Linked DNA regions of Callithrix jacchus. The protein of the gene in region 2 purifies or fractionates together with the protein of the main gene of each other region. This does not show direct contact. Links are inferred from orthologs where the notes say so. Each region holds a gene or a part of one and is shown on either strand. Other genes may lie near its edges.

Region 1 (3,646 bases), on a different chromosome or scaffold from region 2:
TGAAAAATAAAGAGCAAGGCTAATGGTAACTATATGGGTAACACATGACTCTTTAATTTAAATGTCTTTAAGAAAACAGACTATTCCAGACTGGGCAACACAGCAAAACCCCATCTCTATAAAAATATAAAAAATTAGTTGGGCATGGTGGAGCAATGCCTGTGGTTCCAGCTGTTCAGGAGGCTGAGGTGGGAAGATCACCTGACCCTGGGAAGTCGAGGCTATAGTGCGCCATGATCATGTCACTGAGCTCCAGTCTGGGAGACAGAGGAGAACTTATCTCAAAAAATAAAATAAAAATAAGAGACCATAGCACAAAAGCTGGGAGGAAAGAAATGGAATGTCAATTTTATCTCAATAAAAATTATTTTAAAAATTAAAAGACTAGGCCGGGCACAGTGGCTCATGACTGTAATCCCAGCACTTTGGGAGGCCAAGATGGGTGGATCATGAGGTCAGGAGTTCAAGACCAGCCTGGTCAAGATGGTGAAACCTTGTCTCTACTGAAAATACAAAAATTAGCCAGGTGCGGTGGCATATGCCTGTAATCCCAGCTACTTGGGAGGCTGAGGTAGGAGAATGACTTGAACCCAGGAGGCGGAGGTTGCAGTAGCCAAGATCGCACTACTGCACTCTAGCCTGGACAACAAGAATGAGACTCTGTCTCAAAAAAAAAAATTTAAATGTCAATATTATAACTCCTTATTATCCTATATTCTCCTCTTTCTTTTTTTTTATTTTTTTAATTTTTATTTTTTTTGAGACAGGGTCTCACTCTTGACCTCCTGGGCTCAGGTCATCCTCCCACCTCAGCCTTCCCAAGTAGCTGGGATTACAGGTGAATGCCATCACACTCAGCTCATTTTATTTCTTGTAGAGATGGAGTCTCACTATATTGCACAGGCTGGTCTCAAACTCTTGGCCTCAACTGATTCTCCCACCTCAGCCTCCCAAAGTGCTGGGATTATAGGCGTGAGCCACCGCACCTGACCTATTCTCTTTTTCCTAAAAAGTTCCTGGCCAGGTGTGGTGGCTCACACCTGTAATCCCAGCACTTCGAGAGGCTGAGGATCACCTGAGGTCAGGAGTTCAAGAACAGCCTGGCCAAGATGAGGAAACCCCATGTTAACTACAAATACAAAAATTAGCTAAACGTGGTGGTGCACGCTTGTAATACCAACTACTCGGGAGGCTGAGGCAGGAGAATTCCCTAAATCCGGGAGGTGGAGGTGGAGAGTGCAGTGAACTGAGATCGCGCCATTGCACATTAGCCTGAGTGACAGAGCGGGACTCCATCTCAAAACAAAACAAAACAAAAAAAAAAGCACAAATCACAAATAGCTGTGAAAGCATACTTGTAGGATGGAGTTAAAACAGATGAAATGAATGAAAGAAGTCTGTATAAGAAACACATGACAGCCGGGTGCGGTCGCTCATGCTTGTAATCCCAGCACTTTGGGAGGCCAAAGTGAACGGATCATGAGGTCAGGAGTTAGAGGCCAGCCTGACTATCATGGTGAAACCCTATCTCTACTAAAAATACAAAAATTAGCTGGGCATGGTGGCATGCGTCTGTAATCCCAGCTACTCAGGAGGCTGAGGCAAGAGAATCACTTGAACCCAGGAAGCAGAGGTTGCAGTGAGCCAAGATCGGGCCACTACACTCCAGCCTGGGTGACAGAGCAAGACTCTGTCTCAAAAAAAAAAGAAAGAAAGAAAGAAACACATGACTTACCTGACTTATGACTTACTCCTCTCGACGCTTACAGAGAAATCTGTGAAGAGGCTCTATGGCCATACCTTATCTGGCATGGATGAGACTGGGGTTAAGAAGCCCTACTGATAGCTGGGGGTAGTAAATGCCCACTTTCTGAACAGTGAGATCACCAATGTGATTTCCCTGCTCAACTCCCAGAACAAAAGCAGCCAGGTCTGTGCCACTCATACAGGAATAAGGAAGTAAAGAGCAGAAGTGATAACAGGTAAGAATATCAGCCTCTGGGAAGTGAAGATGAGGCAGAGAGGAGAATAACATATATGACAGTTGCTTTCTGTTAGAGGACTTTCAGTATGACTTTTCACACTACATTCATGCATTTTTGAGGAATCTTAAAGACAATCATTATGTTTAAATCATTTGCTTTGATAAAAGGTTTTTGTTTTCACATCTTCTTTCCTTTGACTAAAAAAAATTTCAGAAAATTGCAGTTAATAAAAGGCACAGGCCGGGCACGGTGGCTCAAGCCTGTAATCCCAGCACTTTGGGAGGCCGAGACGGGTGGATCACGAGGTCAAGAGATCGAGACCATTCTGGTCAACATGGTGAAACCCCGTCTCTATTAAAAATACAAAAAAATAGCTGGGCACAGTGGCGTGTGCCTGTAATCCCAGCTACTCGGGAGGCTGAGGCAGGAGAATTGCCTGAACCCGGGAGGCGGAGGTTGCGGTGAGCCGAGATTGCGCCATAGCACTCCAGCCTGGGTAACAAGAGCGAAACTCCGTCTCAAAAAATAAAAATAAAAAATAAATAAATAAATAAATAAATAAAAGGCACAAACAAATCAACAGGTATATACCAGTGGAAAACACAATATAAAACTCAAAATGCCATCGGCTTCTTTAGTTGGTAAAGAACACAAAATGTAACAGACCGAACAGGCAGAAACAGTTTGCTTCAAACAAATTAAAAAGCTATGTGTTTTTCAAATTCTCCCCAAGTTGGATATACACACACCCACAAAAATAGTGTGTGAAGGAAAGCTTTCATACACAAGAAGTTGTAACCTGAATTATTCAAGGAAAAGCATGTTGAAATAGGAATTAACAGTAAGCCACAGATTAATAATTTTTTAATTAAATCTTAAAATCCTACATGGCTCTAAGCAATACAACATAAAGTACTGCTAAGTACAAAGGAAAAAGTCTGCACAGCTTTTAGCAAAAATGCTTTTCCAAAAAATTAAAATAATACAGTAACTTTTCATACCTGTGTCAGAAAATCCTATTTATCTACAACAGACTGAAATTTCAGGACAAAACAGAGACTTTTAACGTTAATTCTTACTTTACCCATTTTAAATTCTGTGATAAACGGTTTTTTAATTGGATTAACACAGTACATGCCAAAGTTCATATTGTGTAGCTGTTTTTGTTAATCTGTATGTCATTTTCATCCTTACCTTCTTCCCACCTGGCTTCACCACAGTGAAAACTTCACTCCAGATCTGAATCCCAGTGGTTTCTGGATCAGAACCCCCTCTCCATGAAAATCCTGTTAATGGTTCTTCTGGGTCACCCAACCAATTTGAACGGCCACTTTCCTTCTGCAGAAGAAGTAAGAAATTTCCATTAAATCTTAATTGAAAATTTTTTGCATCAAGGATAATCTATGAGCTTATTTTGCTTTTTTGAACATTAAAGTCTCACTTTTTACTTGAAATAAAATAATTCTATCTTACCTGAGAATATAAGTATCGTAGCATAAAATCCAGAATGAAAGACTTGCCCTTTCGGAAGGCACCAGCCACTGAAACCACCACCACATCAAGATCTCGGATGTGGTCCTGCAAGAGGATGCTGGCCAAGGCTTTCTCATCTAGCTCAAAGGAATGTTGTTCTTTCTGAACCAAAACAACCTGCACTGGTT
Region 2 (4,117 bases):
GAGGAGGAGGACACATTCTTTCTGGAGGGGGAGGTCCAGTCAAATCAGAGGGAATCCTAGGATTTAAAAAGTCCTGGTTCCAGGCGGGCACAGTGGCTCACATCTGTAATCCCAGCACTTTGGGAGGCGAGGCGGGCGGATCATGACGTCAGGCGTTCGAGACCTGCCTGGCCAACATAGTGAAACCCCATCTATACTAAAAATACAAAAATTAGTTGGGCATGGTGGGGCGCCTATAGTCCCAGCTACTGGCAGGGGTGGCTGAGGCAGGAGAATCACTTGAACCCGGGAGGTGGAGGTTGTGGTGAGCTGAGATGGTACCCCACTACACCCCAGCCTGGGCAACAGAGCAAGACTCCATCTCAAAAAGTCCTGGTTCGGGCCTGACGCGGTGGCTCACACCTGTAATCCCAGCACTTTGGAAGGCGAGGCAGGCGGATCACCCGAGGTCAGGAGTTGGAGACCATCCTGGCCAACATGGTGAAACCCCGTCTCTACTAAACATACAAAAATTAGGCGTGGTGGCACGCCCCTGTGGTCCCAGCTACTACGGAGGCTGAGGCAGAAGAATCGCTTGAACCCAGGAGGCGGAGTTTGCAGTGAGCGGAGATTTCGCCACTGCACTCCAGCCTGGCAGAGCAAGACTCCGTCTCAAAAAAAAAAAAAAATTAGCCGTGGTGGTTCATGCCTGTAATCCCAGCTACTCCAGTGCCTGAGGCAGGAGAATCGCTTAAACCCAGGAGGCAGAGGTTGTGCTGAGCCGAGATGGTGCCACTGCACTGTAGCCTGGGAAAATAATGAAACTCCGTCTTAAAAAAAAAAAAAAAAAAAAAAAAGTCCTGGTTCCTTTTTCCAGGCTTCCTAATTCCCCTCAGATGGGGCTTCTAGAGCAGGAAGGTGAGGAGTTAAGCAAGTCCTCGAGTCAGGGAGGGGCAAGAAGATCTAATTAGGCCTGTCTGTGGGGTTTTTGGTGTTTTTTTTTTTTCTTTTCTTATCCTCTGTGACTCCTTTTAAGGGAAAGGACACCTGAGCTTTGTATTGGGGGTGGGAAGATTGGCTTCCATGATGAGAAGGCAGACAGTTGCAGCCTGGGCTACAGGTCCCGTAGGGCCATTTCTCCCCTTTTCTCCTCCCGTTTCCAGTCCAGGGCCTGGGAAGCTTGGCTGTGTCTGCCTAGTGTCAATTTTGATCTCTCTCTGCTGCCATTCTTTTTTTTGAGAAGGAGTTTCGCTCTTGTTACCCAGGCTGGAGTGCAATGGCGCGATCTCGGCTCACCGCAACCTCAGCCTCCTGGGTTCAGGCAATTCTCCTGCCTCAGCCTCCTGAGTAGCTGGGATTACAGGCGCGCGCCACCGTGCCCAGCTAATTTTTTGTATTTTTAGTAGAGTCGGGGTTTCACCATGTTGACCAGGATGGTCTCGATCTCTTGACCTCGTGATCCACCCGCCTCGGCCTCCCAAAGTGCTGGGATTACAGGCATGAGCCACCGCACCCGGCCCCTCTCTGCTGCCATTCTTCTCCTAGACTGGCACGTCTGTTGGGAGGGGCCAGGTAACGGGCTTTGCCTCTGAAAGGCTAGAGAGCATGCATCCGCCTCAGCACAGGAGACGCAGCCGCCGCAGAAACAAGGGTCTCGGCCCCAAAGGAACAAACGCAGCCCACAGTCCGGAAAAGGGTGTGGCCGGCAGGGTGTGGGGGGGAGTGTGGGCCGCGGGCACTGCAGCAACCGCACCACCTCCTCCCACACCCCGCCCTCCGTCCAGCAGCCTCCTCTGCCGCTCTGCAGCCTGGCTGCTTGAAGCTCGAAGGCGGCTGCCCAACGCCTTCCGAGGGCCGGCGCTGGGTTTCAGCGGGTACCCGGGGATAAAAGCAAGAAAAGGGAGAACCGTATGGCCTTAAGTAGGTAAATAGTCTCGAGGAGGATGCGAGAGGCGAGGGAAACCCTCGAGAAGTAACGGGACCAGGATTTCTGGGAGCAGCAAAGGCGCGAGTGGCACCAAAAGCGAGAGGGGCGTTCAAGATGGCTTGGCTAGGAGGGAGAGCTTCGGCTGAGATGGGGGTTCCCAGATGTTGTTAACTGCTGTTGCCCAGGAGTAGAGGAAGAAGTCCTGACTCTGTGGAAGGATCCAGTCTGGGCGTGCGAAAGGGTGGGTGGGGAGAGTGAGCAGCCGGTCCTAAGAGTGGCGCGTCCAGTAGGCAGGCGGCTTACTGGGGAGAGAGGGGAAAGTGTGGGGCCCACTGTTGCAAGGCGGGGGAGCTGACTCTAGGCATAAGGAGAGAAAGCCCCAGACGGAAGGGGTGGAAGGGGGCTAGGCTGCACCGAGGACCGAGGGTAGTCGCTCACCCAGGCAGGTAGCTCTCGATGACTCATATAAAGAGTTTTCGCCGTGAGCTGCTCCTCGTCGTCCAGTAGCTGCCTCGCTGCTCTAAGGCTCCGTTCTTTCTCGTCGCGGACCCGGCGCCAGCCCAGATAGAGGGCGAGGCCGAAGAGCACGAAACCCACGCTGAGTCCCACTGCACCCGCCAGGTACACCGGTATCAGCACCAGCAGCCGCCTTCCGAATGAAGTCAGCACCGCCAGGGCCTCACCCGCTGCGCCAGGGCCAGCAGGTTGGCCCCCGGAACCTGGGTCTGGCTTTGCGTTAGCAGCGGGGGGCTGGTCAGTGGCGTCGGAAGGAGCAGAAGGCTGGTCCATGGGGCTGGGGCTGGGGCCCTCTCCTGGAGACCGCTCCATTGTGTCACCTCTGGGAGGATTTGCCCGACCCGGGGACCTGCTGGAGGTATCCCAGTCTTGCGACCAGCTACCCCACAGCAAAACGTGATCCCCGGGAGGGAGGAGGGGACTTCAAGCCACGCCCCTCCTTTCTGGCGATTTGGGTTGGTCTGCGCTGCACAGACCAAGGTGGAGTTAAAAGGTTGAAACTCCTCCTCTCTTCCGCGGGGAAGGGATAGGGTTTCTGATAGGTAGGGCCTCCCTGATTGGGCCCGAAGGCCAAGATGGGAGGTCTGGGATGGCGGGAAAAGGAAGAAAGGGGCTCAGAAGCGGCATTCGATTGGTAATAAAGAGGAGGAGGCGTGGTGCACCATTTCTGGAGAGGCGGGACCAAGAGCTCCCCCACGTGGGATTGGAGTGCCTGTGGTATGACGTCATGGAGAGCCGCACCGCCAATTTCTGGGTTTTGGAGAAAGCCCAAGTTGTGAAGTTGAGGGGTTGTGGATGTGTAGCCTCATGATTTCCCTCTGCTCATTCGGACAGTTTGGCAGGATTTGGTCTGGGATATCCATATGTTCTTTTTCCGACTTTCTCTACTTTTCATACTCTAAGCCCATTCCTTATCCTTCAACTTTTCCCTGCCTGCTCTTAGAAAAGGAAAGGACACGATCTTATTTGGAATGAAACTGTTTGAAGACTGACCCTGTCTATCCCGTCCCCATCCCCTGCCTTGTTTGTGTGGTGTAACGAATGACCGTGGAGAAAACTGGAGAATCAGAGAAGTACAGAGTTGAGGTAATCCAGTCTTCAGGGAAAGCGGGGGGGGGGAAGCAGAGGAGTGAATAGAAAGTGAGGCTTTATTTCTTTTTGGAAATTTCCAAGAGTTGGTAAGTCATCTCTATCATCGAGGATGGAGTAAGACTAGTTGGCTCCAAAAGGGAGGGGGGCAGTGGAAATTATTACATTTTCCAATAATTTCCTGACCCCGAGGAACTTCTAGGACAGTAAAATGAGGAATCAAGAGTAAGGGAAAGACAATTCCCTTTCTCATTTGCCTGAGTTAGAAGAAAAGTTTGCCAGTCAGGTGCAGAACTAACGTAGTTCCACAGTGTACTGTGTAGGTTTAGGAAGGAAAAAGTGCAGAGTACACTGATGACTATGGACACTAGTTAACTGGCCTTAAAGGTGGAGTGTTGTCCTGGGATCTAGGTATAAGGCTAATTGGTAGTTTAAGTATTGGTCATAAAATGATTACCTTTACTGCAGTATATATGGGCATATTATGGAACTCTGTCAGATGCAGCAGAGAACTGGGGTTGATCATTGGGGAGAAACTAGCCATTTGTTAGAGGAAGTGTCTTACAGGATGAGGCCTGCAGCTGATAAATTTTTCTGGTTCAGCAG
Region 3 (4,172 bases), on a different chromosome or scaffold from region 2:
CTAACACTAGGAAATTTATGACTGTAAATGCCAAAAAAGATGAAGTGACATTATACTAAATTTTAAGAAGATTTCATGTTTAGAACAAGAGATAGTATCAGGGTTCTGCTCTGCTTTAGACAGGAGATCTGAAAACACTGTGGATGCCACAGCAAAAGGACTATGTCAAAGTACATTAAATTCTTAAACAAAAGGCAAAAATCAAATCTCAAACATCTCGAGAGGTAATAAAATAAGTGAAGAGCTGGGCACGGTGGCTCACGCCTATAATCCCAGCAATTTGGGAGACGAAGGCGGGCAGATCACAAGGTCAGGATATCGATACCATCCTGGCCAACATGGTGAAACCCCGTCTCTATTAAAAATACAAAACTTAGCTGGGTGTGGTGGCATGCGCCTGTAGCCCCAGCAACTCGGGAGGCTGAGGCAGAAGAATCACTTGAACCCGGGAGGTAGAGGTTGCAGTAAGCCAAGATGGCACCACTGAGCTCCAGCCTGACAACAGAACAAGACTCCATCTCAAAAAAATAAAATAAAATAAAATAAAAAATAACTGAAGATATTTAGGCTAAAGAAGAAAGTGGCAAAACAGGAGCAGAACAACTAGAGCCTTTACTACTTGCACAGCAATCAGAAAAGGAACTAGCATTGTTTTAAATGGTACTAAGAAAACAAATTATCAATGAATGAAAAGTACAGAAAAACAGATTTTGGTTTAAAAGTAACTTTCTATGTTAACCTCAAAAGTCAATAAATATTAACAGTGAGTGAAGGAGAAATTTATATAAAATAGCAAAAAAATGAATCCAAGAAACTTGGGCATACCAAATGAGCCTTTGACTAAAATTTCGGTCCACAAATGGAGCATGACATTAACCCATTAAGATTAGCGACAAGCCAGGCGTGGTGGCTCACGACTGTAATTCCAGCACTTTAGGAGGCCAAGGCAGGAAGACTGCCTGAGTCCAGGAGTTCAAGACCATGCTGGGCAACAAAGTGAGACTTCGTCTCTAAAAACAAATAATAATAATGATATTAGTGATGAGTTATATTCCAATAAGTAAAACCAACTTCCAATTTTTTATAATAGAAAGGAAGGCCAGGTGCAGTGGCTCACATCTATAATCCCAGCACTTTGGGAGGCTGAGGTGGGTGGATCATTTGAACTCAGGAGTTCGAAACCAGCCTGGGCAACATAGCGAAACATCGTCTCTATTAAAAATGCAAAAAAATTAGCCAGACATGGCAGTGTATACCTGTGGTACCAGTTACGCAAAAGGCTGAGATGGGAGGATTGCTTGAGCCTGGGAGGGAGAGGCTGCAGTGAGTTCGGATCGTGCCACTACACTCCAGCCTGGGCAACAGAGTGAGATCCTGTCTCAAAAAAGAAAAAAAAGAAAAGAAAAGAAGAGAAGACACAACGTATGGGTAATTCTGAAAGTCCTATTTTATAAAGAATAATCTATCCATGATGATTAGGCTACTGCAGAACTGCAGATGAGAAAAGGTGATGCACTGCCTTACGTAGTGGCAATGGAAATAGCAGTGAAATAATTTCAGGAACATTTCAGAAATGAAGCTCATAGTACTTGATGATTTATTAAAGACTCTTGGAATACAATATTAGAATTTACTGTGTCAGTTAAGCCATTCATCCATTAACAATAACAATAGGAGACACTGCCTACCATGGGTCTGGCAATGTTGTAAACATTTTCCATCATTCTCACAACATTACGAAGTGTATTTACAACCATCCCCATTTTAGAAATGGTAAACTAAGGCTTACATCACTTAAGATAGCCAATAAGTACCAAAGAACCAGTAAGAGGTTAGAAGATTTGGACCCAGATACTGTAATTCCAAAGCTAAAGCTTTTAACCAATGAACTAAACAGCTGTAAAGGAAAGTCAACAAAGTCCATAGAAGGCAGAACGCAGTAACGTCAAGAGCCGGGTTTAATGAAGAGCCTCAGTGGAGGAAGAGGATAGCAGTTTGGCTACTCAAAATCACATGAGGTGTTCATTACAAAAAAAAAAAAAATATATATATATATATATATATATATACACACACACACTCACACACACACACACACACATACACACAGACACACCCATTTTGAATCCAAATCCCTGCAAATGACACAGGAATTAAACTTTTTTTATTTTTTAAATAAAAGGCAAAACCAAAAAGCCCTGGGTAATTTGGTGGCAGAACCAAGTTAGGGAAACTGTGTAAATAAAAGATTTCTAAGGGCTCTTCGTGATTTAACATTCTAGTTGACGCTCTAAATGAATTTCCCAGAAACGAAAGGAGCGAGGAAGGGTTCCCAGCTGGAGGAAAACGGCTATGCATTCAGAGTTCACACCGTTTATGCTCCCAATTTACTAAACGATCCCTCGTAGGGGGAGTGATAGAACAGGCAACGGAAGGATGTGGTGCCCAAGGTAAGCTGTCTAAAAAAAGCAGGCTTTAAAAAAGGCTTTTCTAGCAGGATTTGCAGAAAGAACCCCTTTTTGACTATATATATTTGTGGCCACCCGACTGGATTTTGAGGTGGATTCCTCAGACCCGTATCTGGCTAATGATGGAATTCAATATATTTTCTCTAAGCACCCCAAAGCTTTGCAGGAAACCTCTAGGTTGGGGCCTGCCTGCCCCGAGGCCAGGTGAATCCCGCTCAGCAGCAGAGGTGTCGGCAATTACCTCCTCTAATCCCCTACTATCCGATAATGACCTGTTCCGCACATACCTGAGGGTCCTCTGGTAAGATTGATTTCTTCTTCAGTGACCAAATAATCCACTCTTCCGTTCATGTTTTACAGCTTGCCTGGCTTCCTACGTGGGTCAGCTGGAGTTCTGCAGGTGAAGGTGAATCAATCTCGGCGCTGCGCCCACAGCACAGCACTTTCGGTTTCAGCAGCCTCGAGACCCGGAAAAGGAAGTTCAAAGGACTCGGAGCGCTGGGAATGCTGGGAATCGTGGTTCTTACTGCCCACGGGTTGCAGTTTTTCACCGCTTCCCAAAGTCAAGCAAGAGGTGAGCAAGGGGCAAGCCACCATTCTAATTTGCCATTGAAAGCAGGTGGGAAGGGGGTGGCTAGTAAAAGTAAGGGACCTAAACAAATTGATATTGTCGAGAAAAAATAAAAAGAAAATAAAATCTGCCGTCCTAGAAAATCTAAACAAATGTAGAAAAGGAAAAAAAGTTGTATTATTCTGTAAGCATCGAACCAGACTGGAATGGTGTCACAGGCAATCCACTAATAAGATTGCAAAGAGAGACGAAAATCTCATCTTTTATGTAGCCAAAGCACACGCATGTACTCGTGGAAGACGAGTTGACATAGTTTCGTATTCAATTTTTTGGTAGTTTACCCTTGGAGTGGCCGTCTGTGTTGGCTAGTTGCCTTTATCCAAAGGAAAAATAAAACGTTATCTCTGTGACAAACAGGTATTTAAAGCTTGGAGCAAGGTGCTTAGATTAACTCCTGCAGTGTGGAACACAGGGGCGCTATCTTGATACCTACATTTCAAGGAGTTGGCTCCTGGGACCTTAGGAAAAAATTCCTGGTTTTTATCTGACAAGAGGCTTATTTATTTTTTATTTTTTTATTTGTACCTGGGTATTTAGCTTTTAAAAAGACACACACACACACACACACACACACACACACACGCACAGATTATAATCACAATTTGCTCAAGAAAAGTTTTTAAGAAATGGTGTGGGGGAATGTCTCATCCTTTTGGCAACTGGGAAAATTCAATCTTTTTAATTTTTTAACCGTTACAATAAGGTTAATGCACGACTTAGACTTTAGCCCAGTCTTTCTGACCTTTGGAATGAGACATTCGAAACTGAACTTGAATGAAACTTAAGGGGTCAAAAACACAAAAGCCTTAAGAGCCAGGACCACAGGGATTGGTGGGGATCTTAGAGTACTAGAAAGTGCAAGGCCAATATAAAGACATTCAAATTCAGAGTAAAAAACCAAAGCGGCACTTTGGGAGGCCAAGGCAGGTGGGTCACCTGAGGTCGGGAGTTTAAGACCAGGCTGACTGAAATGGAGAAACGCTGTCTCTACTAAAAATACAAAAAATTAGCTGGATGTGACGGTCCAGGCCTGTAATCCCAGCTACTTGGGAGGCCGAGGCAGGAAAATCCTT

Evidence for each region.
Region 1: the proteins of ESYT1 (region 2) and ATL3 purify together in Homo sapiens (affinity purification with mass spectrometry; 3 studies listed by BioGRID and IntAct, with this or other methods). This does not show direct contact. The link is inferred for Callithrix jacchus from reciprocal best matches to the Homo sapiens genes ESYT1 and ATL3.
Region 3: the proteins of ESYT1 (region 2) and SYNJ2BP purify together in Homo sapiens (affinity purification with mass spectrometry; 4 studies listed by BioGRID and IntAct, with this or other methods). This does not show direct contact. The link is inferred for Callithrix jacchus from reciprocal best matches to the Homo sapiens genes ESYT1 and SYNJ2BP.

What each region holds. Positions count from the first base shown.
Region 1 is NC_133511.1:120,713,042-120,716,687, forward strand, and holds part of ATL3 (atlastin-3), read right to left. Parts: coding exon 3,459-3,646; intron 3,324-3,458; coding exon 3,180-3,323; intron 1-3,179. UniProt on the Homo sapiens protein: Atlastin-3 (ATL3) is a membrane-anchored GTPase that mediates the GTP-dependent fusion of endoplasmic reticulum (ER) membranes, maintaining the continuous ER network. It facilitates the formation of three-way junctions where ER tubules intersect.
Region 2 is NC_133510.1:63,536,896-63,541,012, forward strand, and holds the start of ESYT1 (extended synaptotagmin-1), read right to left. Parts: upstream 2,828-4,117; 5' UTR 2,735-2,827; coding exon 2,345-2,734; intron 1-2,344. UniProt on the Homo sapiens protein: Binds calcium (via the C2 domains) and translocates to sites of contact between the endoplasmic reticulum and the cell membrane in response to increased cytosolic calcium levels.
Region 3 is NC_133509.1:105,382,842-105,387,013, forward strand, and holds the start of SYNJ2BP (synaptojanin-2-binding protein), read right to left. Parts: upstream 2,925-4,172; 5' UTR 2,820-2,924; coding exon 2,756-2,819; intron 1-2,755. UniProt on the Homo sapiens protein: Regulates endocytosis of activin type 2 receptor kinases through the Ral/RALBP1-dependent pathway and may be involved in suppression of activin-induced signal transduction.